Linked DNA regions of Sus scrofa. The protein of the gene in region 1 purifies or fractionates together with the protein of each later gene. This does not show direct contact. Links are inferred from orthologs where the notes say so. Each region holds a gene or a part of one and is shown in the gene's direction. Other genes may lie near its edges.

Region 1 (7,509 bases):
ATTCAGTCAGAGCTGTAGCTGCCAGCCTACACCATAGCCACAGCAACGCGGGATCTGAGCTGTGTCTGCGACTTATATCACAGCTCACGGCAACTCCGGGTCCTCAACCCACTGAGCGAGGCCAGGGATCGAACCTGCATCTTCGTGGATGCTAGTCAGATTCAGGAACTCCAACAGCCACCATTTACATATGGGTGTGCTGGTTAACAATCCCATTCAGTTTAATTATTGCAAGAATTACTTCCTTTAATTATTGCAAGAATCTTTCAAAGTCAAAGGAAACTGAGACTTGGGCAACTTGAGTAGTTTGTCACAGTTATGTAGCCACTAAAAGTGGCAGAACCAGGACTCTTGTCAGCCCTTCCCCACTCCAAAGGTCATAGCATGAATCACCACAGGCCCCACCTTAACACCTGCTTTAAGCAGACAGGCGAGATTGCTCACATCCTGTGGTTGCAGGTCTTGGATCTTAGTTTTAGGTGTGTCCTGTGCACACAGTGGCTGCCGCCTGGAGGCCCTTTCTGCACATTGTGGGCATATGCAATTTGATGGGTGCTTCTGAGGGGGCAGGGGTTGTCCTGTGGTCGTCAAGGTTGCTTGTGTGTCTTCAACTGTGAAAGACGAGCAGAGGCCCAAAGTTTCTTAGGATCAGCTTGGCAATTCTGGGCAATAGCCTGGAGCGTGATTTTTAGCATTATAAGTTGTGAAGTTATGTAATCACATTTCCAGCACTGCATGTCCTTGGGTCTCATGTAGAGTCTGGATCTGGGGATGAGTCTGGCAAATTTGAACAATTGAAAGGAAGCCGGTGGGACTGTGGGCATGGGCAGAGAGGCATGAAGTGAGGGCAGAGATGAGAGGAGTCAGGAGCTGACGGGGCAGAGTCTTGGAGACAGGCTTTTGGATGTTGCTCTTGTGCAGGGAAATGGTGTTAGGGGGTCAGAAACAGTAGTGACCCAATTCTGTGTATATATTTAAAAGTGTTGTCCTCTGCTGTCCTTAGGCCCTCATGCCTGTCACTTCTCTTCTGAGAACCTTGCTGTTCTGCTTGGCCATCTGTCTCCAGCATTTGCAGGATGGCAGCCTTAGGTTTTTTCTCTCCTTTCCTTGATTCTGCAGACTTCCTGGAAAGTAGTTTGCGAGAGACCTGTGACATGGAACACAGCCGGCTCCCTCCTTCAGAGAGTGCTGCTGGGGGTGAGGGGGCAGGAGGAGCAGGAAAGTAGCCTCCTTGGGCCTGTCTGTCAGAGCTTAGGGCACCACAAGGCACCTGCCTTTGCTGTCCACAAACCTGGCAGGTGATTTTACAGAACATCACAAAAAGAAGGTGGGGCAGCAGAGGGAGGGGAAGTCTCCTGCTTCGGGTGCCGTGGAGCATCAGTGGTCAAGGACTGGCCCTGGCCCTTGGCCTGGGCCGGGGAATTCCTTGGTGAAATGGTGGGAGCAGTAGCCAGTGTGGTAGGTAGGGGTCAGGCTGTGGGAGAGGAGGGTGTTGGGAGTTGGGCTGATTGGGCTGCGGAGGCGGGAAGGTGGCCAGGCTGGTTGAGGCTGGGGGCCCAGAGGTGGGGTTGTCAGCAGGAGGTCAGAGCTTGTTCCTGGCCTCCAGGACATGGGAGAGGGCTGCCAAGGACCAGGTTTTTAGGAAGGTGAGACTTTTCTTCTACATTTCTCAACTATCAGCTAAGTCTACCTCAGATTACAAACTTGAGGCAAGATGTACACTCTTTGTGCATTTAAAGTCCAATTGAAGATAGAAAAGGCATAGATAAAAGACCTATACTTTGAGAAATTCCCAAAGTATCTTTTTTAGGTACTGATCTTAGTCCACATGAGTGGGGCAAACCAAAACCTCAGTCTTGGGGAGAAGCCACTGGTCCTGACACCTGCCAACAGCTCCTATCAGCTGCAGACAGCCATAGCTTTGTTTCCTTTTTGTCACAGCTATTCTTTTTAAATATCTTGTCATTGTGGGATCTGCCTCTGAGTGCAGGCCTACCTACATGCTGCTTGGGTGACCACGGACCATCACCCCTTTTACTGAAGGGTCCAGCTGGATTGTCACTAGCTTGTCTGGCCCCTCCCCCTAGTTCATAGAAACTTCCTATAGGCAGGCACCCACACATGCTCTTACTTGTCCTTGCCTTTTCTTGTATGTGTGTATGTATGTCTTTGTTTTTGCTTTTTATGGCCACACCTGGCATATGGAAGTTCCCAGGCTAGGGGTCGAGTCAGCTACAGCTGCCAGCCTACACCACAGCCATAGCAGCAGGGGATCTGAGCTGCATCTGTGACCTACACCATAGCTCATGGCAACGCCAGATCCCCGACCCACTGAACCAAGGCCAGGGATCGAACCCCCATCTTCATGGATTCTAGTTGGATTCATTTCTGATGCGCCACATCAGGAACTCTTTTTTTTTAAAACGGAATTTATACTATACTGTGTTCTAAGTATGGAGCTTCAGGGGATAGAGTTCTTTTTTCCATTGTCATCTTGTCACATACTCCCGAATAGCCCAGTTTCCACAAGGTGAAAGGTTCCATCTGGTGACAGCGCTGCTTTCTGCACAGAAGCAGTGACTTTCTCAGTGGGTTGGGGGTTGGAGGGGCGGTTACAAGACACTTGGTATTTATTGGTTCCATGAGCTAGTAGTGATGAGATGAGCAGGTACAGGGTGGGGAGGAGAGTGGGGAGTTCGAGATAGGACATCAGGGGCAGAGGGTGGCTCGGTGGGGAGCAGGGCAGTCGAGTGGTGCTCGGTGCAGATGGGCCAGGCCACTCTGGCACCGTTCAGGGTGGCAGGGACAACGGTGGCCAGGATGAGTGCTGTCTGGCCTTGTACCCCTGCTCTCTGGCCGACCAGCCCGTGATCTTGGAGAGGGCTCCAGCCTGCCTTACAGGCAACAGGTGTGTTGAGAATTGGGAGTGAAAGCGAGTCTGAAAGGGCCCTGCAGGCAGATTCCTGACTCACAGTATCCACTGACTGGACACCAGGCCCACACTGCAGCTGGAGCGCATTTCCTCTCCATCCTCTTGGGGTATCTCCCCAGCCTGAGCCCTTTCCATGTGCTCAGGTCAGGACGAACTTGCCAATGTACAACTCAGTGGACATTGCTTCTGCTACCGTGTGGAGCCGTACATTCATCTAAGCCATGTGTCTCCTGCCCTCCTCCCCCACAAGGAGCTGTTCACTGGTGCTTTCTTACAAATGGACCACAAGCTGTGTTAGAGTCTAGAGTTCAGTTCTCTGTTGAGCTCTTCCTCACCTTAGATACCTTGTGTTTATTTAAACAAGATGGCTAGATTTTGGCACTTCTTCTTGAGCCCTATATTTGAAATCATTCAAACGAATGCTTCAAAGATAGCCTCCCTCCTCTGGATCCGCCTCGGAAAGCATCCTCCTTTTCCTCAGCGTGCAGTGGCTCAGCAGTCCACCTGGAAAGGCCGGTGTGGCTCCCCCGGGGCCCAGCTTCTCAGTGAAGGCACGTCCACAGGCCCACTGGACCTGGTGGACTTGTCGGGCTGCTCTGGCAGCTCTGGGGTTCTTGGTCACATCAGGCCAGCAGTCAGCTTGCTAGCCCAGTAGCTTTGGCAGGAGATGCGTCTTTCCAAATGAAACCGTGCATGGAACCCCAGTGTATGTAAGATGAGATTTACAGGACTAACTTAGGGAGGCAATTGGGATGGGGACTGTGACAGTGGGCAGAAAGCATTACAAAAAGTGCAGCTGGTAGCTGCAGTCTTGGTCAACCCCAGCAGCTAGCTCCTTTCTGAAGGCTCTTTGTTGCAAGTGGTGAGGGGTATCTTTTACCCTTGACCTTGCACTTTTGGGTGAGCCTTCAGTCAGACACATGAGACAGAGTTTCATTCGAAGGAAAGTGTACGTGAACAGCAGTGAGCAGGGCAGCTTAGGATAATGTGGGAGCACACTTGACTGTGCTTTGGGTTAAAACTTTAATAAAACAATTAAAAAATTCGAGTCCCAGCAGGACATTCGTTGGACCTTTAAAGTACTTCCTTAGATCTCTGGGGTCTCCACAGACAATTTGAAAACCACACTCGTCAGAGTTGCTATGGCCACTTGAGGAGCAGAGACCCCCTGCCTGGTGCCTGTCCTCTAACAGTAGGTGGAATTCCTTCCCCTGGGACTGCCACAGCTGGGTCCACACTGCTGGGTAGGGAGGCAGCAGGCCAGATGTGGTGTTGGTGGCAGCAGTCCCTTCCCATGTAAATTAGGGGGAGATGGGTCTTTTCTTTAGTGCACTTTTTGTGTGCGTTGAACTGTTCTTGGAGAGTCATGGGCTCATTCTGTCCCATTGGAGCTAGTAGCCGGGAGAGCAAAGACCGAGCTCTGCCTCAGAGCGCATCCTGGGCTGAGAAGCACCCTGGGCTTATTGGTAGTTCCTGGTGTCTTCGGTATGGCCTGATTTCAGGTTTAAGCACTGAGAAGAATGAGTGGGTCCTAAGAACAAATGGAACAGTGTGTGTGATTTAGTTTTTGGAGAAAATGCTGACTTTGTCTTTTCTCCCCCTTGCAGGTCGGTGACATTGTCAAAGTCACACGGATGAACATAAACGGCCAGTGGGAAGGTGAGGTGAATGGGCGCAAAGGGCTCTTCCCCTTCACACACGTCAAAATCATCGACCCCCAGAACCCTGATGAGAATGAGTGACGCCACCGCCCCAGCCTGCTGCTTTGTTGTCCTGCTTTCCTTGGAGGTGGGAAAGTGTCCTCGCGGCAGGCCACGCACTGCCATCATCCAGCTTCTGCAGCGGGTAGCCTCACACACATTGGAATGCTCACGGTGGCTGCCCAGCATTTGTATCATAGTCGTGTTGTCAGTAGACGATTCTAGAGTTCTTTGGATCTGAACTGGAAACACTGGTGGAGGCACACAAGTGAGAGAGGGGGGTGAGGACAGGGCTTCCTTCTGGCTAGTGCCCTGCCTGTCCCTGGGGCTGACCACCCGTCCTGCACGAGCTCAAGCCTGTGGCCAGCATTGCCCCCTGTGAGCCATGGCACAGGGCCCAGTCGCCAGCATGGTTTTCCTTGAAGAGCGGAGGAAGTGGACCTTACAGGAGAGAGAATTCTGCCCTAAACTCCCCACATGTGGCTTGGCTTTTCTTTTTTTCCCTTTGCTCTTTGGTTTGGTTTTGGAAGACTTAATTAATCAGACTGTGTGTCCTGAACAGGTTTTTAAGTAGCAGGTTAGATTTTTGTGATGATACAAGGGATGACACGTGCCTGAGCTTCTAAACTGAAGCCGCAGTATGAGGAAGATAACTCTGAAGAGGCGCCTTCATTGTCTCGGTTGCCGGTAGTATCTTGTGCTGCCAGATAGCAAACCAAACAGCAGCCGCAGCACTGCAGGCTGTGTGCACAGCCTCTTGCATGACATTGTCCTCAAAGGCATCAGAGTTGGGGGTGGTTCACCTTGTTTGCCAGTGACAGGAGGACACCTGGCTGGCTTTCTGTCCAGCCTTCCAGCGCATGTACCCCTTTGAAGTATAGGACCCTAATTTCTCTAAAAAGTCATTGAATTTGTTAATGGATCTTACAGTTCCACTCAGTGCCCTGATTGCAGTTCACTCTCCTGCCCAGCGCAGTTCACCAGGCTGACCAAGAAAGATAGTGCTGCTAATGCTGGTCCCAGCCCTCCTGTGTCCAAGATGTTGTCAAGCAAAGAAAATGCAGGCCCTAGACATTAATTGATATATTTGACATCTTATGGTTGAGACATCAGATGCATCAGTACTCACTTGCCAGTCTGATGTTAAGGTTTACCTGTTGGTTAAGGAGACCTTTTCAGACAAGCCAGCTGGTCCAAGTGTGTGGCCGTTCGTGGACTGGAATTCTGGAAACTTGGTGCTGTTGGCTCTGCCTGCCCTTCTGGGCACTGGTCAGGACAGGCCTCAGCCTGGAGTGAACACAGTGGAGCTGGGGTGGGGTAGCCACTGATTGTGGCTATAGCCATGGCCCTGGCTCCCGGGGGCCTCCAGTTTTTAGGTTAGAGCAGTTACTCTGGTGATAGGACCAACAGGGTAAGCGTTTCTCACTCTCTTGAATCAAGTGTTCCATCAGGGAGGTAACCATCATATTGAAGGATCTTGAGAGTGTTCAGATATCACGGTCCATTTTGTGGGCTGTTGCTGATTAGTGAGAACTGTGGCTGCCTCCTGCCTAGAAGGTGCATGTCCATTGTGGCTGCCTTCCATTCTGAGTCCAGCCAGCCCAGCCCCACGACAGGTGGCACATGGGTGGCAGGGTCCCTGTGCTCTGCCTGAAAGTGACCAGGTCTGAATACAGAATGTGGACTGTGTGCCTTGTTCAAAGAGGGCACACACCCTAAGGCCACACACTAGATTTCGCTGAGATGCTGGGCAGCTGTTAGTGACAGTAGTTGGCTCAAGTGTAAGAAGTATATGGCCATATTGGAAGCAAGGTTTCCTTTCAGCCAGAGTCCGAGCCCCCACAGACCTGGGTCTACTCGGTATTTCAGCCGCTGCACATTCTCCAGGGCTGCCAGGAGGTTCGGAGCCTGAGATGAGGCGAGCCCTGGGTTCTGAACTCTTGGCTGTGTGCCAGAAGTAGGACCCTTTCCACTTAGCACCTGAGTAGTTTTTTCATAAAGCAGGGGAATTTTTTTTTTTTTTTTCCCCACACTAAATAGACAAAAATACAGCACCCTGCCTTGGCTTTGGGCCTGGGCCCCTAGGGTCTGGAAGACTGCTTCAGAGGGGACTGGAATCTTCCAGAGCTCTGCCCTCCCTCCTGGTGGGCTTCTTTCCTCTCTAGGATTGTTCATTGTGGCTACTGCTCTGTTCCCCTGTGTGTCAGTGAAGAAAATACAAGGATGTTAAATTAACTCTCTTGGGAAAAGAACAAAACATGGATGAAAGAGTATTGACAGTTTGACTAAAAACTTATCCTGAGAAGGATCTCCAGCACAGGAGTCATCCTTATCACCTCTACCCAGCGTGGTGCCACGTGATGACAGGTAACGGAGAAAAGAAGGCATTGGCTGTCACTTGACAACTTGTCACCCACATGGGACACTTCCTATGCTCTGTCCTGGAGCCCAGGCAGCTGGCACTGTGTTGACTTCTCCCCCAGCTGTGTGCAGGCCAGGCGGATTCGGGCCACCGCCATGGCTCATGTAGTGTTTGCCCAGAGGAACATTTTATTTTTGAAAAGGGATGATGTGTTTTTGTGCCAGGTGTTTATAATTTAATCCTTTAATAATATTATGTTCATTAACCTCTTAAAAATGAGTGAATCCTTGATTGTTTTAACACCTCACCCAAGACACCACTGAGCTCTCCCTCAGCTTCCAGCCTCTGGGACCAGAGGTCTGCGTCCCTGTAACTGCTGTCGGGTCCCTGAGCTGGGCATGCGTTCTAACCAAGTAAAAGGACAGTCTTCTGAGACAGGGCAGTGGTCTCTGCAGGAGGAACAGTGGCCTTGCTTCTCAACGGTCTTCACTGTGTGTTTTAAAACGACAACAACA
Region 2 (7,902 bases), on another chromosome or scaffold:
ATAATTCCAGGAATTCCGTATTTAGGGGACCCCGCTAAAAATGAGGTGGTCCATACGAAGAGCCAGTAAGAAGATAAAATAATTCCGCTGGGCAGCAGCTGCTCTAGCCCCTATTAGAGACCCTGTGACGCTTACTCTGGCCGTCTATCTCCGGCTTAGTGCACCTGACTCGTTCCGCGGTTTGCCTGCACAGGAAGTACAGTTGGTTTACAGATGAGGGAAGTGTGTCTCCGAACGTGTAAGCATCTTATTCAGCATCACGGCTGGCAGAGCCGGGGAGCGACCTCGGGTCTCATGACCCTGAGGCCCCGGGGTGTTCGTGCAGCATCTGCCTCCCAGCCTGAGTCAGCCCCGGAAGGACACCTGGGAGGTGCTCAGAAACGGGACTGGGGCCCTGGAGGGCAACTCCGACAGGAGGGCCCCCAGCCGGCCGGCAGCACGGAGGCCGGGGGAGGATGGACTGGCCAAAGGGTGGGGGAGCAAGAGCAGGACAGAGGCTCTACAGTGAGCCGGGAGGGGCTGGCACAGGACGGCGGAGAACCCGGCCCTCATTTAAATGCCGTTTCCGGGAGTTCCCATCGTGGCTCAGGAGTTAACGAATCCGACTAGCAACCATGAGGTTGCGGGTTCGATCCCTGGCCTCGCTCAGTGGGTTAAGGATGCGGCGTTGCCGCGAGCTGTGGTGTAGGTTGCAGACGCGACTCGGATCCTGCAGATTGCCGTGGCTCTGGTGTCGGCCGGGCAACTACAGCTGTGATTCAACCCCTAGCCTGGGAACCTCCATATGCCGCGGGTGCGGCCCTAGAAAAGGCAAAAAGAGAGAGAGTTCAGGGAAGGAATAAATAAATAATTTATAATTTATAAAGAAATACATAATTTCTAAATAATATATCAATCAAGCAATCAGTGCCGTCTCCGCAGGCGCGTTCCGGGCCAACCTCACAAGTAACAGCCTCGCCTGCCGCTTGCTTTTCAGGTCCACGCCGGGCCTCCAGCTGCCTGCAGAGATGAGGCCGGGCTTAGGGAGAAGGAGTACGACTTCCCCCCTCCCCTGAGACACGCCGGAAGGCCGGACGTCAGGCCCGAGGGCGTCTATGACGTCCCCCCAGCCAGCAGCAAGCCCGGGGCCAAGGACCTTCCCCGGAAGCTCACCTGCGAGGCCCCGGGAGCGGCCGACCTGCCGCGAAGACACCCGAGCCTCGCCCTGCCCGCCCCCGCCCCGCAGCCGGCGCCGCCCCTGGGCGCCCAGAGCGACGCCTACGACGTCCCCCGGGGGGCGCAGTTCCTCCAGCCGCCCGCAGAAAGCCGCGAGAAGGCGCAGCTCGAGGAGAGGGACGGGGTGTACGACGTCCCGCTGCACAACCCGCCCGACGCCAAGGGCTCCCAGGACGTGGTGGACGGCATGAACCGCCTGTCTTTCTCCAGCACGGGCAGCACCAGGAGCAACATGTCCACGTCCTCCACCACCTCCAAGGAGTCCTCCCTGTCGGCCTCCCCATCCCAGGACAAAAGGCTCTTCCTGGACCCAGACACGGCCATCGAGAGGCTGCACCGGCTCCAGCAGACCCTGGAGACGGGCGTCTCCAGCCTGATGGCGCTGGTCACCACTGAGTGGCGGTGCTACGGGTACATGGAGCGGCACATCAACGAGCTGCGCACGGCCGTGGACAAGGTGGAGCTGTTCCTGAGGGACTACCTCCACTTCGCCAAGGGCACGGTGGCCAATGCCGCCTGCCTCCCCGAACTCAGCCTCCACCACAAGATGAAGCGGGAGCTCCAGAGGGTGGAGGACTCCCACCAGATTCTGAGCCAGACCAGCCATGACTTAAATGAGTGCAGCTGGTCCCTGAACATACTGGCCATCAACAAGCCCCAAAACAAGTGTGATGACCTGGACCGGTTTGTGATGGTGGCCAAGACGGTGCCGGATGATGCCAAGCAGCTCACCACAACCATCAACACCAACGCAGAAGCGCTCTTCATACCCGGCCCTGGCAGCTCCCAGGGGAAAACTGGGCCCGAGAACACCGAGTACCCTCACACGGGCTCCCAGATGCACCTGCTGCATCCCGGGGACCATAAGACTCCCGGTCTCAACAAGCCATTGCCCCCGAGCCTGGGCAAGGACCAGCCCCCTGACTGTAGCAGCAGTGATGGCTCGGAGAGGAGCTGGATGGATGACTATGACTACGTCCACCTCCAGGTAAAGGAACCAGACTCAGAAAGCAGCAATATTCACGTGCATGGGTTGGGACTAAGGCCTCTAAGGCTGGTGGGCTAGACTGCCCGAGAGAGACCACGATTAGTGATTCAGAAACACAACGGAGGTTCACAGACGGCAGGCAACATCAGACATTAGGAGAAATACTGGCCAGAGAGTCCTGCATCCTCTAGACTTACACGTGACACCGACTGTGTCACCAGCTTACGTACCCCCCCCCCAATTTCCTCATGTGCCGAATGAATGAAGCGCAGGGTTGGATTAGACCTGATTGATACGCCTCAGGCAAGCAGGAGAAGATTCCCTGAGTAGGACAGTGGGCCCTTGAATAATCATACCAGCTCCACTTCTATTTGTAGTTCATGATATGGTTTTGCATATTTAATTTGGGGAAAAAAGCGTGGGGATAGGGGTCTTTCACTGGTAAAAAAATATATATATATTTTGAAAACCTCTGCACTAGAGTTACCTTGAAGACCACTGGTCATTTCCCAGTTGACCTAGAACTTAACCTGCGTATGGGAAATTGGGCCGTCCCAGTCAGTCTTCTAACAAGTGGACATTTCACCAGGTTGACCTGGGATCCTGACAGCTTGCCCTTTTCACTCTGGGGGAGTCACACATTCTATGAAGATCCATTATTTAGAATTTGGCTTACCATCTTATTCGGCTTTTTTTTTTTTTTTTTTTAGGGCCGCACCTGCAGCATATGGAAGCTCCCAGGCCAGGGGTTGAGTTAGAGCTGCAGCTGCAGGCCTACCCCACAGCCACAGCAACTTGGGATCTGAGCTGCCCCTGAAGCTCATGGCAATGCCGGATCCTTAACCCTTAACTGAGCAGGGCCAGAGATCAAACCTGTGTCCTCATGGATAGTAGTCAGGCTAGTTACTGATGAGACACAACAGGAACTTTCCTGCCATTCTTTTAATATGACTGACAGCCACGAGTTATCCTGAGAATTATAGAACAAACTATAGTTCTTTTGGGTTCAGCTGGGGCGAGGAGAGCAGAGCCACACCTCAAGCTAAGAGAAAATGTGGGAGAGAGTAGACGGAGGCCTTAACTCTCTGCCTGGCTGGTTGTCCAGCTCTGCATGGGGGGAATCCTAATTTGCTGTGGAGCTGCAAATGAGCTGAAGACACTGGGAAGGCAACATGGACCACATTCAGACCTACCTTGAGAGGTTTATGGATTTGCAGAGGCTCTCTGAGAAAAGAACCCTGAGAAACAGTGCTGCTGCTGGAGGTCTGAAGGGGATTGGGGTAGCCCTCCAAACATGTAAAGTAGAGCAGAGAGCATGGCGCCCCTCATGGAAATGGATTTAGTTTTCAGTCGTCCTCTACACGGTGACTCTGAAGTCTGGCTGAGAAGCTCGTCCTCCCTGTCTGGGGTGCACAGGGCCTAATCGGGCATGTGGGGAATGGCCAGGGCCGTGGAAATGGAAGAGCATTTATGTGTTTGTCAATGAAATTGTTAGCAGAAGTGAGTCATGGTGATGATGTAATGTTTTCTTTATGTTGAAAAACCATAGGGTAAGGAGGAGTTTGAGAGGCAACAGAAAGAGCTCTTGGAAAAGGAAAACATCATCAAGCAGAACAAGATGCAGCTGGAACACCACCAGGTACGTTCAGTCGGGACCCAGACTACTGGGTATGGAAAAGATTTCCCGCTTAGGAAGGAAGGTATGCCTTCAAAAGATCGTGATTTTGGTCTTTCCTGTATGCAGTGGCATAAGTAAACTCCAAGGCATATAACAGGGTCTGAGAACAAAATGTTTGCGACCTTAGTAACGCAGCTGGGTGTACCTGGACTATGTTGAGGTAGCGGTTTTTCCAGGCTAAGTCTGTACATTGAACATATTCGGACTATTTGGGTTAAAGCGGTTGGTCTCAAGGAGCCAGACCCACTCAAGGTTGCCCTAGCAAACAGGTTTATAGGAAAGCCGTAATCGGAGAATTCAAGAACAAAAAATGAAGATATAGCCACGTCTGAAAGAACTAGGGCTGTCAATCCCTCTCCTTCTTACACTTCCTTTGCTCCTCTCTTTGCTCTATTTTCTGGCAGTTTCCTCTGCTTACCTCCTCATTTGTCTCCTGTAATTTTACAAATGGCCGCTCGATGCCTTTTGTATAGATAGGTTTTTATCTCAGCTTCCTTATCTGATAGTCATCTCCTTTTGTGGGTCATCAAATTCCTAAAAAAGAGAGTCTGGCCATATCTATATCTATCTATCTATCTATCGCTCTCTCTATCTATCTATCCATCTATCTATCTGTCTATCTATCTACCTACCTATGTGTCTCTCCCCTACAAAACAAGCCTCTGGCTTGGCTGTTCTTGGTACACTCTAAGGGCAGGAAGGCAGGATCCAATGTTTTCAAAATATATCCAAGACTATTTATTAAGGGCTTCAGGCAGGGCAATTTCATTCAAAAGTTAGGCATGAGTGGGGCAGATAATGATGGGTATTGCTAGAATAGGGGCATAAAAATAAAGAGAAATGGATTGAGGACTTATCAGCCTTTTTTTCTTCTTTTTTAAAAAAATGTTTAAGGATCCGGTGTTGCCGTGAGCTGTGGTATAGGTCGCAGATGCAGCTTGGGTCTGACGTGTTGCTGTAGCTCTGGCGTAGGCTGGCGGCTACAGCTCCGATTAGACCCCTAGCCTGGGAACCTCCATATGGCATGGGTGTGGCCCTGGAAAAACAAAAAATAAATAAATAAAAATAAAAATTTTAAAATTTATGTTTTGGCTGAGCCTGTGGCATGCGGAAATTCCCAGGCTAGGGATCGAGCTCAAGCCACAGTGGCAATGCCAGATCCTTAACCCACTGCACCACCAGGGAACTCCCCAATGTCTTTTTTTTTTTTTTAAAGTTAATTTACAATGTTCCTTCAGTTGTATAAGCCTTTTAAGATAAGATGAAATGGCATGTAGAGAAATGAAATGGCCACTGAGCTCAGGAAACCAGAGCTCTAACCTTTGCTTTCTGACCAACCAACCATGTGGCCTTAGGCAAGTCACTTAACTTCCTTGAACTTCCATTACTTCTCTATAAAATGAGAAAGTCTGTCTCCCCTCCATCTAAAGAGATGGTATATTTATGAACATATTTGGAAAAGCATAAGCTAAATATCTTGAAGCATCACCCTGTGTGTGTTTACGTTTGCCTTGGCATGTGGCCAAGTAAGACTGCAGGGCTTTAGGGAACTTGTTGAAATCACAGTAATTCCTAAGAAAACAGAGTCGACAGAAAAGAAAAGCTTGCTGTGCATTTCTTGGGGGAGATGCTGTTAACGCTGCTCAGACTCAGCCCTACGTCAGCAGAAGACTGACTGAGTTCTAAACTCCGGTCACTAACTAGTCCTTACCTGTAAAAGAAGAGTCTCTCCAGAGACGTGGTGCCATAGCTGGAAATTATTATCGTTGCAATTTAAATAACACACCAGCTGGGGGCAGTGCAGAGAGAAGGACGAATGCTAATACTCAGAGAGCCTGACTCAGTGAGGTTTTTTTCCCTTTTGACAGCTCGGGGTGGAGGGTGCTAAGTGTTACGATACAGTCAGCATTCAGATTCCCTTAGAGATATTCTTTTCCATAGTGTACATATATTTATATGCATGTCTTCCCTGTACTGCTGGATAATAACATGTATAAATCTGGACAGAAAGAGTAGGAGACAGGATCGGTCCTTTGTCCAAGTGTCTTGCAGGGACAAAGTCAAGACTTTCCTCCAGAAGGAGTCACCCGTCAGCGAGTGACCTGACAAAGAGATCCCCGCATTTGCTTTCCCCTGCCCCCACTCAGTGCTTGATAAAGCTTTTCATAGAGCCTGCATCACACCCGACACTGCTCTAAGCACTTGGCAACTATTAACTCTTTTAACCATCGTAAAGGTGTAGGTAAAATAGCTGGGCTTAAACCCTGGGCTGCCTTCCAGGCTGAGGGCAGGAGAGATCAACCATCCAACCACAGACGTCAGAACCCACAGATTCCTTAGGGATCATCTTTCTCACCTCTGCCTTTTATTTACTTACTTATTTATTTTTATTATTTATTTTGAGGGCCACACCTGCAGCATATGGAGGTTCCCAGGCTACCAGTCGAATTGGAGCTAGAGCTGCCAGCCTAGGCCACAGTCACAGCCACGCCAGATCTGAGCCATGTCTGCGACCTACACCACAGCTCATGGCAACGCTGGATCTTTAACCCACTGAGCGAGGCCAGGGATCGAACCCGCCTCCTCATGGCTACCAGTGGGATTCGTGTCTGCTGCTGGCCATGGGACCTCCCTCCACGGCTACTTTTCACAGGTTAGGAATGCAGGGCAGCTAGACCCGGCTTAGCATCGAATAGGCCCCTGACTCTGCGCAGGGATGCAAATCCCTGCCTTTTAACGGGGAGCCCTGCTGCGTGTCCATGCCAGCCCCCTGCCGCAGCCTGAAGGCCGTCTGCTCTTTTCCTCCCTGCAGCTGAGTCAGTTCCAGCTGCTGGAACAAGAAATCACCAAGCCCGTGGAGAACGACATGTCCAAGTGGAAGCCCTCCCAGAGCCTCCCCACCGCCAGCAGCGGCGCGGGCGCCCAGGACAGGCAGCTGCTGTGCTTCTACTACGACCAGTGCGAGACCCACTACATCTCGCTGCTCAACGCCATCGACGCGCTCTTCAGCTGCGTCAGCTCCGCGCAGCCGCCGCGCATCTTCGTGGCGCACAGCAAGTTCGTTATCCTCAGCGCGCACAAACTGGTGTTCATCGGGGACACGCTGACGCGGCAGGTGGCCGCCCAGGACATCCGCAACAAAGTCATGAACTCCAGCAACCAGCTCTGCGAGCAGCTCAAGACGATCGTGTTGGCCACCAAGACGGCCGCGCTGCACTACCCCAGCACCCCGGCGCTGCAGGAGATGGTCCACCACGTGACCGACCTGTCCCGCCACGCGCAGCTCTTCAAGCGCTCGCTGCTGGAGATGGCCACGTTCTGAGACGGCCCGGGGGGCAGCGGGCCGCCGCGGACACCTGGACGCGGGCTCTGGTTTTGGTAAAGCGTCTCTATTTTTGTAGATATTTGATACGAAAATGAACTTTTGTTAACATTCTGTGGGTTAGCCAATATTCAGAAATTCAGGGAGCTCCCGGGGAGACTTTCTTTTCTTTGCTTATGCACACACCTGAGCATCTGAGTTGGAGAGTGTACAGAATCTCGTCTGCGTGCGTGGGTAGGACTGTGTCTTCGTGTCCGTTTGTCTCATACATTCCATTAAAAACCAGAAGTAAGACGCACCTTGGGAGGCACCTCCCAATGCTGCTTTTTTTTTTTTTTTCTTTTTCTATGAAACATACCAGCTGATTGTAATTGCTACATGTACTCGTGATTATTCTGAGCCTGTCACTCCCCGGTCTGGGACACATATCTGCAGGTGTTCACTTTCCAGTAAGGTGGCATGGGATGCCTTGTTTCTGTTTTTGAAACCCCTTCCTAATTTGGCCGTCTTGGGCACATTATGGCAAGATGCCTCATGTCTGGCTGAAAAAGCCCTCTGAGAGGGGACGTTGCAGTGAGTATATGCTAATCCAAACTCTGATGTGTTCAGTGCTGAAGGAGTGACGCATGTATTTAGAGGCCACGTCCGCAGTTAGGGCTGGGAGGTGTCAGCACGGACAGGATGCTGTCCCAGTAAAAG
Region 3 (7,902 bases), on another chromosome or scaffold:
AAGTAACCAGACTGAGAGTTGAAAATTCTGGGTTCTGGTCCTGCCTGCCTCCATCATCAAGTAAATGACAGTTCCTTCATTTTATGTTATTTCATGTTGGAGAAAACTAATTTCCTAGAAAGGAAAGCATAGGAATTCAAGTTTTTGGTTTTTTTTAATGAGAGGAGCCATTGTATGTTTATAAATTGTTGAACTCAAAATGCATCAGGTACAACACATTATTTTTTTAATGTGTAAACCAATCTTGAGTTTTATTTGTTTTTTGAATACCATTGTGAATTATCTTTTTCCAGTTCACAGCTTCTTTTTTTTTAACATGCTTTAACAACTTTATTGAAACGTTTAACAACTTTATTTAAAAACTTTATCGACACACTAAACAATTCACTCATTTAAAATGTGTGCAATTCATTGGCCTTTAATAAGTTCAAAGATTTGTGCAACCATCAATGCAACCAATTTCAGAGCATTTCTATTATCCCCAAAAGAAACCCTGTACCGCTTAGAGACACCCCTCAAATCTCCCAACAACTACCCCTGCCTTACTTTCTCTCTATAGATTTGCCTATTCTGGACATTCATGTAAATGGAATCATACATTTATTTGGCCTTTTGTGATCTTTTGTGACTGGTTGTAAAAAGGATCGCAGTTCACAGCTTCTTAAATTTAATCCTATTTATCTTTCAGAATTTTCTTTGGACATGCAATATACCATATTGACTATTGCTCCTTCTACATATTTCTAAAGGACTCTCTCAAAAAAAATCTGGTAGAAGTGGCTCCTTTCTTTTGAAAGTGTAAATTTTATCATCTGTTTAGATCATATGACTTACCATTGTGATTTAGAATATGATACTCTGGATGAGTTTAAATATAATTTCATAAACTAATAAAACTAATTGGGTTTGTAAAATTAAGTTGTTAATACATAATGTCGTTAAGTAGGCACCTATGAAAAGCATGGTGTTGAATATCACTGGTAACAAAAGGAGTTTCATTTATATACTAATTGCCACTGCTTTGTTTCTGTAACAATAATAAGCCACTCTTTTTTTTTTTTTTTTTTTTTTTTTGTCTTTTTGCTATTTCTTTGGCCGCTCCTGCGGCATATGGAGGTTCCCAGGCTAGGGGTCGAATCGGAGCTGTAGCTGCCGGCCTACACCAGAGCCGCAGCAACGCGGGATCCGTGTCTGCAACCTACACCACAGCTCATGCTAACGCCTGGTCCTTAACCCACTGAGCAAGGGCAGGGACCGAACCCGCAACCTCATGGTTCCTAGTCGGATTCGTTAACCACTGCGCCACGACGGGAACTCCTAAGCCACTCTTTTTGATAATAGTTAGCTTGAATCACTCAGCATCAATACCCAGTTTAAATCAGCTGTGTTAAGTAAAAGAAGCAAAGATGTTTATATGAAAGGTCATTTATTACATTGAAGTTTGTCTTAGATGATTAACTAATGCTATGTAGGTAAATATTACATTTAAAAACAATCTTCTCAACAGTAAAGTTTTACAGTTTTTGAAGTAGATTTTAGGTATGTGATTTTAAAATACATTAAAAATATTTTTGAGATACCAGTATATTCTATATGTGAAATTCTCTATAGTTAATGGTAGACAAATGACCCAGAAACTTGAAACATTTTTAGAATAGAAAGTCAAATGCATGTCTAAATGGATTTGTTACTTTCACAGTTATTTTTATGTGTGTTAGAATTGTGTTCTGTGGAAGTTCCTGTTGAGGCTCAGAGATAACAGACCTAGCTAGTATCCATGAGGATGCAAGTTCGATCCTTGCATCAGCAAGTTAAGGATCTGGCATTGCTGTGAGCTGTGGTGTAGGCCGGCAGTTACAGCTCCAGTTAGTCCCCTAGCCTGGGAACTTCCATATGCCGCAGGTGCAGCCCTAAAAAGACAAAAGGAAAAAAAAAAGAGAATTGTGTTTACGTATAAGTTTAGGTATGTGTGGCTGAATTAATAATGTAAAAAATATCAAAGGTCAAAATATAAAGGATTCAGTAATATTCTACTGTTTGTGTCAACTCAGGACTTAAAAAATTACTTGATATCCACTTGAATACTGAGTGATTAAATTCTGAAAAAAATTCAGTGAAATAGTTCACTCTTTAATGGTGCTTTCACTACATCATTTAGAATTTTGCCCTTTCTTAATATTGCTATCAGTGTTAGATTGACTGCTGCCTTTGAAACCTAAACCTTTTAAAGTTAATGGTAGCATTTCATTTCATTCCAGAAATTCTGCCATATGAGAGGCAGATAGGTATCCATTAAGTAAAAACCTAGTATCTTTCTTTATGAATAATATGGCCTTTGGCTTTCTTTAATCTAGCTGGCCATAGTGAAGAAAAATATTTTGAGTAAAAGATATTGACGTGTTTTTTTAAATGTGTCTGTTTTTAAGTCTCTTATCCTTTGGAATCTGTCTCACATACACACACCCCCTTTTATGTTGGAAATTATTGTGAATGGGTTTTTGTTTTACTTAACACAGTTGAGACTGAATATTTTTCTAAAGAGTGCAGATTATTGTTATAGTGGAAAGCATGGTGAGTTTTAAATAATGGATATAAGATATTTGGATAATAAAACCTGAGAATTAAATAGATATAATATGGTATTTATTACTTCTAGAATATTTGAGTATTAGGATATTTTAAGGAGTTCCCTTGAGGTACAGTGGAAATGAATCCAACTCATATCTATGAGGATGCAGGTTTGATCCCTGCCCTTGCTCAGTGGGTCAGGGATCCAGCATTGCCATGAGCTATGATGTAGGTCACAGATGAGGCTCGGATCCCGAGTTGCTAAGGTGTGGCGTAGACTGGCAGCTGTAGTTCTGACTCAGCCCCTAGCCTGGGAACTTCCATATGCCATGGGTGTGGCTTTAAAAAGCCAAAAAAAAAAAAAAAAAAAAAAAAACCATTTTTTTAAATAAGTTATTTTTGTAAAAATGGTTTGGAGCATTGAGTAAGAATATGTTTACTTTTCATAGGTCATCAATATACATCATATGTATGTGTATATATAACTAATCTGTATCAGTTCAAGCAAAAAAGAAATGTGTTATTATTCTTTAAGAAATAACTCTCGGAGTTCCTGTAATGGCTCAGCAATTAGCGAACCTGACTGACATTCATGAGGACCCCAGTTCAATCCCTGGCCTCATTCACTGGGTTAAGGATCTGGCGTTGCCATGAGCTGTGGTGTAGGTCACAGGTGGGCTCAGATCACATGTGGCTGTGACTGTGGCGTAGCCCTGCAGCTATAGCTCCGATTTCACCCTTAGCCTGGGAATCTCTGTATGCGGCAGGTGCAGCCCTAAAAAGACAGGAAAAAAAAAAAAAAGAACTCTCAAGAACAAAAAGTACTAATGAATAATGAAGCTCATTGAAAAGTAAGCCTTTGTAAATTTGAATTTTTTATGATTTTCTCAAGTCTTTTTCTTTATGATAGACAGTAACTGTTCTTAAATGTTGTATGAAAGCTTTATTAATAAATGTTACTTCTTGGAGTTCCCTGGTGGTACAGCAGGTTAAAGATCCAGTGTTGTCACTACTGTGGCGTGAGTTCGCTCCCTGACCTGGGAACTTCCACATTCAGGCATGGCCAGAAAAAATATGTTAGTTTCTTAACTTTTCCTTTTTGGTAGCCACAAACAGATTTATAAGGTTACTGAATTATTGTCACCTATTGTCATTCATAACTCAATTGCTTTTTTGAATTACCACCACCTTGTCGCAATGATAATTAGCCATTATTGATGACTCAGTCCTTGTTAAAAACAGACTCTTCTGTCCAGCGTATGTAATATATTTAGCCACTGATTGAAAACGTGCTTGAGTTTTACTAACATGTATGATCCTAGTTTTATTCAAAATCTTAACATATGAATATTGACAAGGTTCTTCATGATAGTAACATTAATTATGTAGTAGAACTGCAAAGAAAACAACTTACACTGTACATTTACAGAATGCTTTCATTTTTAATAACAACGCCATAAAATAGATTGGGGAAGCTTTTTATAAGCCTCATTTGACATATAAGAAATATGAGGCTCAGAAGTCATATAATTTTCCTGAAAGATCACACCGAAAGTGAGTTGAATTTTATCTTAGGTTTTGTGTCTTCAGGTTCCTCTCCACTATGTTGCTTCATTCTCTGTATATTTATCTTGCATAGCATCCCATTGCTTACAGCAGTAGTGTGGGAATCAGAATTCTAAGAGCAAATTACACACTTCAAAAAAGACTCACCTGTGTGTTTACTTCTGTGCCACGTCCTATGATAGTTAAAAGATAATTTTTCCTCCTCATTTCTTTTTGGTAGTATGCATCTGAGAAACTGCACATTACTCCCTATCACAAGATATGATGTCTTTTAACACTGTTTCTACTCCTTTTTTTTTTTAACATGGAAAACTTGGTGGGATGTTGATTTGGATAGTAATACATAGGAAGACTTTTTAAAAGAGTAGTATATTTTATGACGTTTAAAATGTATTACAGTAGAAAGAGTTGAATCAATGTTATCTTTATCCTTAAATAAAATAGGCTTATTTTTTTGTACAGAACTGTTCTGCTTGTTCAGATTTGTCATTTTTTACTTTGCAGCAGTTAGAAGAGAAGAGTGAAGATCAAGAAGACAAGGAATGTTTGAAACAAGCAATAACAGCTTTGCTTAATGTTCAGAGTGGTATGGAAAAAATATGTTCTAAAAGTCTTGCAAAACGAAGACTGAGGTGAATAATTTCACTTTTTAAATTATCTTCCTTTTCACCCTGAATATTGTGGTATAAATTAAGGGATCCTAGTCCCTACTCAAGTAAACAATGAAGAAAATAGTGTTAGTGACAAGCTTGGTCTTTCAAAGGAAGTGACATCAAAGCCAAGAGAATTTGTTATTGTTTGAAAAACCTTTCATATTTGTGCATTTTCCTTGCATACTCCCAGACAAGACCTCCTGAGAATCAGCTGGTAAGCTAAAGGAGAAATACAATGTATTGGGTAGGTTTATGTCAATCTCTGAAAATAAAATTAGTAGTGTTCTTTATTTTAGGGACTTTGTAACTCAAGGCATTAATTCAGATAATATACTTCCAGTTTCCTAGTTATTATGTGTGCATGTTTTTTAGCTTTTAGATATTGTCCACTTAAGCATTCCTAGATAATTTTTAATCTCTTAAATTACTTTAATCTCTTTTTTTTTTTCACTATATTGGGCTACTTTTTTAATATTTGTCATTCTAAGTATTTAATAGCCGTAGTAGAAATAATCATTCTGTAGCTAAATTTATAGGGGAGAATTTTGTCAATAGCCAACTGTTCTTTTTAAAGCACTAAAAAAAAAAAATGTCTCTACGGTATTGATTTAGTTTCCAAAATTGTGCAGTTCTGTTAACACTAACATATTTGGAGAATTAGTGAAAACCTTCTCAATGCAATGTTTTTAAATATACTTTTGCATTTCCATTTATTTACATGAATTATAGATTCCCTGTCTTCTGTGTACTAACTGTTTTTTCCTTTATCCCAGTGAATCTGCATGTCGGTTTTATAGTCAACAAATGAAGGGGAAACAACTAGCAATCAAGAAAATGAACGAGATTCAGAAGAATATTGATGGTTGGGAGGGAAAAGACATTGGACAGTGTTGCAATGAGTTTATAATGGAAGGAACTCTTACACGTGTAGGAGCCAAACATGAGAGACACATATTTCTCTTTGATGGCTTAATGATTTGCTGTAAATCAAATCATGGGCAGCCAAGACTTCCTGGTGCTAGCAATGCAGAATATCGTCTTAAAGAAAAGTTTTTTATGAGAAAGGTACAAATTAATGACAAAGATGACACCAGTGAGTACAAGCATGCTTTTGAAATAATTTTAAAAGATGAAAATAGTGTAATATTTTCTGCCAAGTCAGCTGAAGAGAAAAACAATTGGATGGCAGCGTTGATATCTTTACAGTACCGGAGTACACTGGAAAGGATGCTTGATGTGACAATGCTACAGGAAGAAAAGGAGGAGCAGATGAGGCTTCCTAGTGCTGATGTTTATAGATTTGCAGAGCCTGACTCTGAAGAAAATATCATATTTGAAGAAAACATGCAGCCCAAAGCTGGAATTCCAATTATCAAAGCAGGAACTGTTATTAAACTTATAGAGAGGCTCACATACCATATGTACGCAGGTAAGAAATATGAACTTGCCTATCACTTTTATTTTCCTGTTCAGGCTGATTTTTCTTCGCTGCACAGGTCATTGTGCCTAAAATAGAAATCAGACTAACAACAAAAGACCTCCGCATTATCAGAGTTCATCTTCTTCTGATTTAAAATACTTTCACTTTGTTTTAGTTTGAAATTTTATATTTTTTTCTACCACGTTTACATATGTTGTTTTTAAACTTTATAACCAGTTATAAATGAAGTTACTGAGCTAAATTTACCCAGTTAGTGGCAAAATTAAGACTAAAAGTAGTGGTAAATCATGATCATTAGGGTCTAAAAATCTTTTTTCTCCTTTGTTTCTTTTTTTTTTTTATCTCTCTTATTACTGAGATTATAAAATCAGTAAAAATTTTAATATACATCCATAACCAAAATTGTGCTGGTAGTACAAATATGCACAGCATTGCTTTTTCTTAATTTCCATTCCTAAAGTTTATTAAATTTAACAATCCTGGGAGTCATTTAGGTTTTCAGTATTTTTTACTTTTTAGAAGTGATATTATTTAGAAAACAACTTCACCTTCTTAGCGGGCATTTTAGAGACAAACATAGGGGCTTGGGCTGAGGGATTGAGATATGTTTGTTTCTAAATTGGCTGCATATAATATTTGAGAGGTAAGGAACAAATATAATGATGCATTTATTATAGGTAACTTTATTCTATTAAAGTAACAAGTGAACAACAAAGTGTTGTTCAACTTCCCTACATAGTAGGAAGTTTGATTGTTGTAAAATACGGTGGAAAGAGCACTGAATTTAGATTCATACCCTTATTCTATCACAGTTCGTTAAGGCCTTAGAACCTTAGTTTTCATCTCAAAAATCAGTACCACAACAGCCACCTTAGATATTGTTGGAAAGAATAAATGAAATAAAATACATTAAAGCTCTTTATAAATATAAACTTATTTTCAAAGAATACTTTAACTACAAAGAGATATGAAATCAAGCATAACTCTTATAAATGCAATTCTTAAATAGTTGAATATGTAAGTTAACCTCTATCCCCATACTTTTTGTTTAAATATATTCTGGCTCCAAGAGATGTGTATTTCTTGGGAAATTCCTCCAGTTTTTAAAGTCCTACAAAGGGTTCTCAATTCTCTCTGGAAACTATTCTGGCACCAGTTAGATTAAACTTTTAAAAGATATCCATTAACAAATCCACTGTAACAACGATGAATGGTATTTGATAATGTTAACCTGTTCAATTTATTAAATGTTCATTCTGAATCACTTACGTGGCCTAGAAGTTATCAAGGCCACCTTGCAAAAAATTTAGAATATTTTTGTCAGTAATATCAAAACACTACAAAACAAATCTGTTTCATTATCTCCACATGTCTCTGGGGTAAATAAGCCAGTTTTTTGTTTTTAGTTTTTATTTGGCCTCTAATTGGTAGTTCTTTTGCTAGCCTTATCCATGGTAAAATAATAGTTTTCCATAGGCTAATTTTAAAAGCAGTTTGGTAGCTTATATTATTAATTAATGTTAGGAGTGCTACATTATTGAGTATCCGAATTTTTTTCTTTTCTTTTTACGACTACATCTGTGGCATGTGGAAGTTCCCAGGTTAGGGGTAGAATTGGAGTTGGAGCTGCAGCCTATGCCGCAGCCACAGCAACATGGGATCTGAGCCACATAT
Region 4 (8,403 bases), on another chromosome or scaffold:
TTTCTTTGTTCTCACAACAAACATTTCCTGAGCATCGTTTTGTGCCTGGCACCATGCTGGGAGGCTCGGGGAGTACAAAATGAGGATGACACAGTCCTGCCGGCAAGGATCCGACAGTTCCTTGAAAAACACTCGCGGTACAGTGCGTTCACCTAATTTATATAGGTGCAAGGTGAGTCTAAGGAAAGAATGAGCGACTGTGTTGGGGCTTGGGGCTGGTGCGTTTTAGGGAAAGGGGTCTTGATGTATGTGCAAGACCGAAATCAAGGCCAGCGTTCTCTTAGAAAGAAAAGGGTCATCATGCAAAGGAGGCTTTGGACTCCTAAGACACTTTCCCAGGGACCCTGGTGGTCTTTGTTCTTGGGAGAATATGATAACCGATTTTGCAGCATGATCTGTGACTACAGTGATGTCGCCACCCCCACCATTGTCAGCAGAATTATCTCAAGAGCCTAGCTGCCCCCAAACAAATAGCACAAGTTACAACGGAGAAACTGGGGAGCACTTGCTCAAACCTTTCTTTTTAAGGAAGTTTATTTCCAAAATGTCTCCCACTGGGCGTAGTATCAGGCAACCCCAGAGTGTTAGGAGCCTGAGACAGGGAGGAAACCCAATTAGGTCTCCAGCCACAGCCCGAGCCCACTTCCAGATCTCCATCCCATCCAGATGCCAAAAGTTGATTAGGTCCAAGTAATTTGATGGAGGGAATCAAATGGGCTAAAAGCACCCAGGGATTAAAAAGGCATCCTCGATGCCTGAGAGACAAGTGTCCTGAAAGTCACCAGCCGAGGTGGCCCAGCTGGTCATACTGACCTTGGTAAGCAGCACTCAGCTCTGAAATGAACCTGTCAACTCAATTGAAAGGGAGAAAAGGCAGAAGGGCTAGGACACAAACATCCATCCCCACCCCCAGTCTGATCACTGACGTCAGGCTTGGTGTGGGCGGTATTAATCACTCAGCCTGGTGTTCAGTTGAGGACAGCTCTCCTTGCAGCGCTTCCAACTCATTCCTGGGAGCGTTCCACCAGCCATGCACCTGCCACCAGCCACAAACCCTCAACTCCCAGACAGGCACGCAGGCAGGCTGCCGCTGACGACCCTCTAAGCCACAGGGCGGGCTCTGTGGGGGGAGGGGCAGGGCAAACCGTGGTGCCCAGGCTTTCCTCCCAGGTGTGCATTTCTCTAGTTTTGCAGTGCTCCCCCCGAAGAAACCCTCATACAACGGGCCATTTCCTGGGGATTTAACGAGAATGTAGAATTAATGGCCCAAAGAGCTCCTAGCATCCGGTCATTAATTCCCTCAGGAAATACCAGTGGTCTTTAATCAAAATTGCCTAAATTAGAGACTAGTGATGCATGTCCTTTGGGAGGGAGGGGAGAAAGCTGTCGTCCCAACTGGTTCCGATAGATGGCGCCGATCTTCGCATAAATAAATCACTCAATTTGTGTTCCATTTTTCCCCAGTGAAAATCAGGGAGCATTATTTAAAACAACAACAACAACAACAACAACCAGGGAATGGAGAGGACTTAGTAAAGGTCCAGACAGGAACGTTCTGTCCAAAGGCTGTTTCCAGGCCTTGCACGAACCTCAGTCTCAGAAGACTGAGCCACAGGGAGGTGCAGCCAGGGACCTCAGCAGCATTCCCCCCTCCCTTGTACAGTCTGTGCTGGCCGCTTAGTACTGGAAAAGGTTGGGAGATGGGGAGAGCACCAAGAAGAGCCGCTTCTTGGAGGGGTATGTTCAGAGAAGACTTCTGAAGCTGATACTATGTAACTGTACTATTTCAAGTCCCCTCCTGTCATTGGCCTGAAAACATCAAATTTCTGTTTCCACATGGAATTGTAAATAACAACATGGGGGGGGGGACTTTGCTAGACAAAATAAGACCCTAAAGAATTTCTGGCAGCAGTGCAGCCCCACTCCCAACTAACCGTTGCTGAATAGTCCCCCAGTCTATCTGGAATCATCTAACTATTAAAAGATACGTAATAGAAGACTGCATTTCTAGGGAAAAATAGGGCCTGTGTATGCCTGACTTGCGTCACACACCTCGGCTGTGAACAAACCATGCAGATTTCTCAGACTCCGCAATCCCTGAGACTTGGCATCATGACTCAGATGTGAATGAAGTCAGAAGATTGCTTTATTTTTGTTGGGAGTCACCGCCTCCTGATTGATTTGGCAGGCTTTGAGTATTTTGATATTTGTCTCACAGGGTTTTAAGGTACTTAAAGCCAGAGGTTAAAATGGCTACAATTCTGGTGGTAGTCCTTGTATGAGGCTTAAGGATCCCTCAGTTGGAAGGCTAAGGAGCTCTGATCCCAGCTGTAGCCTGATTGTTCTGGATTTACATGCAATCCAGCAGCACACTGGATAGTGAAGAAAGTGAAATATTAGGTCCAGAGTTGCTGATCTCCAAACCCCCCCAGAGTGCTTAGAAGAGTTAAGCATTCGATAAAGAATTAGCTTTTACAAACTGACAGGGTTGAGCTTTCCCCAACCCACCCAAGGTCTATAAATCAGAAGGATGTCCAACTACTTGAAAACAATAGCTTTGCTGCCCGGAGATAGAGAAATGATCAAAGTGGCCTTCAATTTGTCATGGGGAGTGCAAGATGCTGCTGGTTCTACTCATCTGCCTGCAGCGCTTCCCTATTGATGTAGTGGGTTACTACCCACTTTTCAAAGAAGTTGGGGGAGGACCTACCTTTTAATTTTTTGTGTTTTATTAAAGTATAGTTGATTTTCAATGTTGTGTCAGTTTCTGCTGTACAGCAAAGTGACTCAGTCGTACATATATGTCATTCTTTTTGAGGACCTACCTTTTAATGCTGCTTGTAAAGACATTTTCTGACTTGAAAAGAGCCCCTACCAAAGGTTTCTGGGGTTTTGGCTTTGTTTTTTTCCCCTCTCCTCTCCACCTGAAGTGCTGGGTTTGTCAGGTGTGTGCGTCCACGTGTTCGATCTTAGTTAAATAAACCTCACTGCAACGCAGTAAGAGAGGTAGCTGTGTCATATGCGCTCCAGAGAGTTCTCATAACCTGTGTCAATGAGTTGAAGGTCCGGGGAATTTTGACCCCAATTTCACCTTGCCTTACAATTCACTATGAAATAGAACATTGACTCACTTTGGCTTCCTTGACTCTGCAAATCCCTAGAATTTTCTATTGAATTGCTTTTTCCCAGAGGCAAGGGGGGAGCCAGCTGGACTTTCTTGGTAATAAGAGGACCCCAAGTTCATCTGCAGACGTTAAACAATTCTACCACCTTAAATAGCAGAAGAGCAGGACCCCCCCCACCTGCCCCCGCCCCCAGAATTAGAAACCGGACTGCACTGCACCGGCTTGGGGACCTTAGGCTGTCTGTGAAATGGGAATAACACCGCCCAAGTTGTAGATCTCTGACAGTCATCTAAGCAAGGATTATCAAAGGGCCCAGCACCCAGTAGTTTCCGTCTTTCCTTCGCCCATCAAGGGGGCGAGAGAGTTAATGGAACTCTTGCTGGGAAGCGCATCACTAATTTCAGCCAGAACCTGACCCACTGAAACCTGAAACTCAGGGAAGGATAGGAAGCGGGAGCAGCCCTTGGGTCTCTTCCCGACGACCCTCTGTGAAAAATCGATTCGCGATCGAGGCCGCGCAGTCCCTTCCCATCGCCCCACCTCCATTCCCACCAGGGGCGCGGCCGCCGCCCCCGCTGCCCCCTCGAGGCTTCAGGGCGGGGGGAGAAAAAAGCCAGACCCGGGGGGGTGCGGCCGGCCTCCTCGCGAGCCTCGGGCCTCTGGGAACCGAAGACGCCAGGCGCTGTTTGCGTCTTTGAAGACAGCCCGCCCGGGGGCGCGGCGGGCTGTGGGCGTGGCGAGCGCGCCGCCCTTCCTGCCGGGGCCCCCGCCGCGGCCCCGCCGGGAGAGCGCGCCGGCGCGCGCGGGGAGAGCGGGAGCGCGCAGGCGGCCGGGCCCGCGCCGCGCCGCTCGTCCTCGCCCCGCGGCCGCCGGCTGCCCCGGCCCTCCCTCCCCCGCGAGCTGCGCACCGCCGGCCGACTGACCCAGCCGCCCGCGCCCGCGCCCTTGTCCGTCGACCCCGCGGCGGGCTCCAGGCGGCCGGCAGCATGAGCGGCGGCGGCGACGTGGTGTGCACGGGCTGGCTGAGGAAATCGCCCCCCGAGAAGAAGTTGAGGCGCTATGTGAGTGCGGGCGAGAGCGGGTGCGGCCGCCGAGGGCGCGGGCGGGGGGCGCCCTGCGGCCTGCGGGAGGGCTGCGGGCTCCGGGGGGCCGGCGCCGGCGGGGAGGGCGGGCCTCGGGGCGGCTCGGGGCTGTGCGGGGTACCTGCACACCTGTCACAGGTGCGCCGCCGAGGGGCGGGGCGGGCGGCCGGCCAGGTTGAGGCTGCGGCTCCCTCTCCGCGGGGCGGGCGCGGCGGCGGCGCCTCCCTAGCCAGCCTCCCTGCAAACTAAAGGCACTATTGAAGTTTGTATTGATTGTTTTCGGAGCCGGAAAGAGTTGATTCCCGGGGCCGGGGGACCGTAGTAACCCCGAGCGGCTTCAGCCCGCGGGCTTGGGGGAGCGAGTAGGAAAGGGGGGCGTAGGCTACGGGGCCCCGCCGCCTGGCCCCACAAAGGGCGAGGCGCCTCACACCCTTTCCCCCTTGCCTTTCTCTGCCCGCCCCTCCCGGTGGCCGCCTGCTTCCTTCCAGTCCACAGCCTCTGCATCACGGGCAGCGTCAGCGGCATGTGCAGCCCTTGTATTAAGTGACTCATTTGTTTGTCCCCCTTCTTTCCCTTTATTCTGTCTGTCTCTCACATGGATCCCCCCGTTCCTCCCCTCCCCAACCACCCCACGATAGTGACACTGCAGTTTGGTCGGCTACAACTGGCCCGGGTTTTGTGTTGTGCGGTCCTCGGCGTCTGGGGTCGGGAGAGATCAAGGTTCTCAGTTGCCAGGTGGTGCTAAGCGACGTGTTTACTGAAATTGCTGGGGCAGCCTCTCCCTTCTCGGTGAGAGGCTGGCAGTATCGTGGGGAAGGTGGTACAGCCCGGTGGGAGCGGTGAGGAGGTCTGGCTTTTTTTTCCCCTTCCACCTGAAGATGTCCTGCTTGGTGGGGTCAGAGTACGAGATGGGGCCAGTCCCTGAGATTTGGCTGAAATCAGTCCTGGGCTGTTCGCCTGAGTCTGGAAACGCAAGCAAGGTAGCTAAAAGGTGTCCCAGTTTGCCACCCTCTCCTCGTCCCTTCCTTTGATATGTCCTTGTTAAACCGACTCGTGGTGCCGGGCTCTCTGGGATCATTCCCACAGCCTGGAAGTGAGCTGTTGCCTTCCAGCTGCAGTGCATCAGGGGAGCTCGGAATAGACCCTGCCCTCTGTCAGCTGCACCAGTGGCTTTCCATGAGGGGAGAGGCAGAAGCTTACCAGAGTTTCCTGTCTTGGCTCCCCAGATCAGAACCGAGGGACTTCTGGCCTCTGGATTGAGGAAGTGACATTCTGTTTTTCAAAGGAAGTGTTGTTGTTGGGGAGAGCGAGCCAGTGTGTATGTAAATGAAATCAGGCTCTTATTTAGATCGTTTGCTGGGGGGAAAACCTAAGGATTTAGCGCATGACATTTGAAAGTAGACATAGATTTTAAATATAGTAGGGGTGAGACAATGAGGTGTTCATCTTGGTTTTAAAGCTCATTTTCAGAGATGTCTGTGTAGCCAAAGAACTCTGATTACTAAGAAACTTCTCTGGAGGGTTCTATGGGTTCATTCGGAAAAGTGAATCTTTCTATTGGGAGGTTAAGGAAGAGTAATTTGCTATTAGTATTTTTACGAATATAAAACCAAACCAAAATCCTTTGGCCCCAAAGAGCTTCTGAAAACCATCAGTTAAAGTGTCATACCATCCTGGCCAGTGGAATAAAGCATCCAATAAAAATATGTTCTTAGTTGTTAAATTAGAACCCCATCCTAAACAACCTTGAAACTTCGTTTCTGAAACAGTTTGCCACTGTATCTACATTGACTGAGGACTGCTTCAGCTCAATCACCTAGACTCTTTATGGTCCACTTCATGGGTATTTTCGTTCCCAAGCAACTTTAGCTCAAAATAACCAAGTGTGGAGGCTTTAGGGTCAAGCACCTTTCCCCCCATTTGAAGTACTTGACACCCTGCAGTCATAAGATGACCTCAGCCTTTTCCCACCCCCCTCGCAGCTTTATCCCATAAGACCAAACTAGCAGCAGCTTTTCTTAGGCTAGAGTCATTGGTATGATTGGAAATTGCCCCTCCTGTGGAAGTTCAGTTCCCTTAGTTGAACCTGAGCTGATTTGTTTGATCCTGAACTCTTGGGGAACAGTCTTCCCTGGCATCTTCTTTTCTTTGAGGGTCTTGAGAATGTCTTGCTTTAAGTTAGAACTCTTCCAGCTCCCTCTGTTCAGCAGAGGCCCAAGGTCATCAGGCCCAAACTAGGAAAGAAGTATTTCCTAACCCCGTTGCAAAACACCCCCCGCCCCCCAATGGCTGCTTATTCTGCTATATATAATGGCCATGTGGTATTAGAGATTGATAAATCTTCATTGTAAGAATGTATCAAGCATCTGAAATAAGGGGGAAAGCAGCTTATGAAATAGATTACACCTGCTTAAAATTAATTTAAAAACCTGCCTCTAATTTGAGGCGGAGGTAGGTGTCGGGGTGAAAAAATAACTTGAAAGAAGCTATGGCAAATGTTAGCAGGATTAGCTTTAGGGAATTCTGTGTCTAAGAAATCAGTGTCTTTTCCAATTTATTGATTAGAAGAAAGAGTAAAAGGTCTATTCAGTATTTACTGTGTGCTCTGGAGGGATTACAGAAAGTGACCTCTGGAAATGGTGAGTATTGCCCCCGGGGCATCATAGTAAGGTTGCGGTGGGAGGCTGGCAGAAGGAACAGCCCTCCCGTCACGCCAGAATATGCGGGTATATGAGTATGTGCATGCTCTGCACGTGGGTGAACACACACACATGTACATGTATAAAAAGGTGAAGCTGTGTCTTCTTGAGGAAAACGTATTTTATGACATTTACTGCCCTATAATTTTCTATTTTCTCTGGGTTAGAAGATTTAGGGGAAAAGATTGGTGGCAGCACTGCCCCCTGGTGGTTAACCTGGAGAAAGTTGTGTATTGATTGTAAAGAACTGAATTTAAGAAACTGCTTGTTTTCATTTTATTTGTTAAATAAGCTTTTTAAATTAGATATTTGTGTCCCTGGCACTGGATTAGATAGTGATAATAAAAGTTAATCCAAAAAAAAGTTCATCCACCCGTTCAGTCTTAGTGGATGACCTTGCCTTCTCCTTCACAAAGAAAATGAAGCTATTTGGGATAGCTATCTGCACACACTGCAACCACATTCCCAAGTTTGTGTGGTTCATTTCGTTTTTCTTTGGAATTCGTAGAGTGGATGAGGTGCCCCTTATCACTGGGCTAACTCTGCACGCTGTGCTCTGGAACATGTTCTCTCCTGCCCATTTAGGGCCTTCTTCCCCTTTCTGCCATGAATCTTCAACTTTTCCCTCCACCGCTTCCTTTCCATCAGTGTTTAAACATCCTTCCTTTTTAATAAAATTCTCCCTCATTGTCAGACCCCTTCCTTCTCACTGTGCTTTCTCTTTTTCTTTGGGCTAAACTTTTTCGTGACTGCGAATACTGTCTCCATTTCTGCTGCCTCCTTCTCAGTGGGCTCCAGTCTGAAACCTACTTTGCCGTTTCACCAAAGCTATTCTCAGAAAGGCACCAGTGTCGCCCAGGTGTCACTAAATTCAGAGGTGTCGTTTTCATTCCTTATTTTATTTCTTCACTGCTTGATCATAATGGACCACTCACTCTTTCTTGAAGCACCTTCCTCTAGTCTTGAATGATACCATGTATGCCTGACTTTTCTCCTTTTTTGGTCGTTTCAAATTTTCTTTGCCAAACTGACCCTCTTTATCCAATTCTTAAAGGTTGAAGCTCCTTTTTAGATACGGTGGCTATGCTCTGGGCTCTTTTCTCCTCCGTGGAGATCCTGTCTATTCTCCTGGCTTCAGTTGTCATTTGGATGCTGTCACTACCGAGTTAAATTTCCATCTCAGAGATGTGTTCGGAACTCCAGACTTGCAAATGCAGTTTTTAGCTGGCCATCTCTACTTGACTGTCTCCCCGTCATCACAAACCCACCACACCCAGAGTTAAACTCCTCTTTATTCTTCTCTTCCTCATCCCACATCTGCTCAGTAGACGATGCCATTGAACATCCACTTGCTCTGCGAGAAACTTGGGTGGCGTCCTTGACTCCTTGCTAACCACCATCCCAAGTCTAATCTTCCACCAAAACCCATTGGCACCATCATTTTTTTTTTTTTCTGTACACTTCTCCATCCCTGCTGACATAACTCTTGATTACCAT

Evidence for each region.
Region 2: the proteins of CRKL (region 1) and NEDD9 purify together in Homo sapiens (affinity purification with western blotting; 4 studies listed by BioGRID). This does not show direct contact. The link is inferred for Sus scrofa from reciprocal best matches to the Homo sapiens genes CRKL and NEDD9.
Region 3: the proteins of CRKL (region 1) and SOS1 purify together in Homo sapiens (affinity purification with mass spectrometry; 3 studies listed by BioGRID and IntAct, with this or other methods). This does not show direct contact. The link is inferred for Sus scrofa from reciprocal best matches to the Homo sapiens genes CRKL and SOS1.
Region 4: the proteins of CRKL (region 1) and GAB2 purify together in Homo sapiens (affinity purification with western blotting; 3 studies listed by BioGRID). This does not show direct contact. The link is inferred for Sus scrofa from reciprocal best matches to the Homo sapiens genes CRKL and GAB2.

The regions. Positions count from the first base shown.
Region 1 is NC_010456.5:50,550,861-50,558,369, forward strand, and holds part of CRKL (crk-like protein), read left to right. Parts: intron 1-4,539; coding exon 4,540-4,674; 3' UTR 4,675-7,509. UniProt on the Homo sapiens protein: May mediate the transduction of intracellular signals.
Region 2 is NC_010449.5:7,808,094-7,815,995, reverse strand, and holds part of NEDD9 (enhancer of filamentation 1), read left to right. Parts: intron 1-976; coding exon 977-2,203; intron 2,204-3,752; coding exon 3,753-3,842; intron 3,843-6,693; coding exon 6,694-7,203; 3' UTR 7,204-7,902. UniProt on the Homo sapiens protein: Scaffolding protein which plays a central coordinating role for tyrosine-kinase-based signaling related to cell adhesion. As a focal adhesion protein, plays a role in embryonic fibroblast migration.
Region 3 is NC_010445.4:101,318,201-101,326,102, forward strand, and holds part of SOS1 (son of sevenless homolog 1), read left to right. Parts: intron 1-4,638; coding exon 4,639-4,766; intron 4,767-5,560; coding exon 5,561-6,216; intron 6,217-7,902.
Region 4 is NC_010451.4:12,846,962-12,855,364, reverse strand, and holds the start of GAB2 (GRB2-associated-binding protein 2), read left to right. Parts: upstream 1-3,941; 5' UTR 3,942-4,111; coding exon 4,112-4,186; intron 4,187-8,403. UniProt on the Homo sapiens protein: Adapter protein which acts downstream of several membrane receptors including cytokine, antigen, hormone, cell matrix and growth factor receptors to regulate multiple signaling pathways.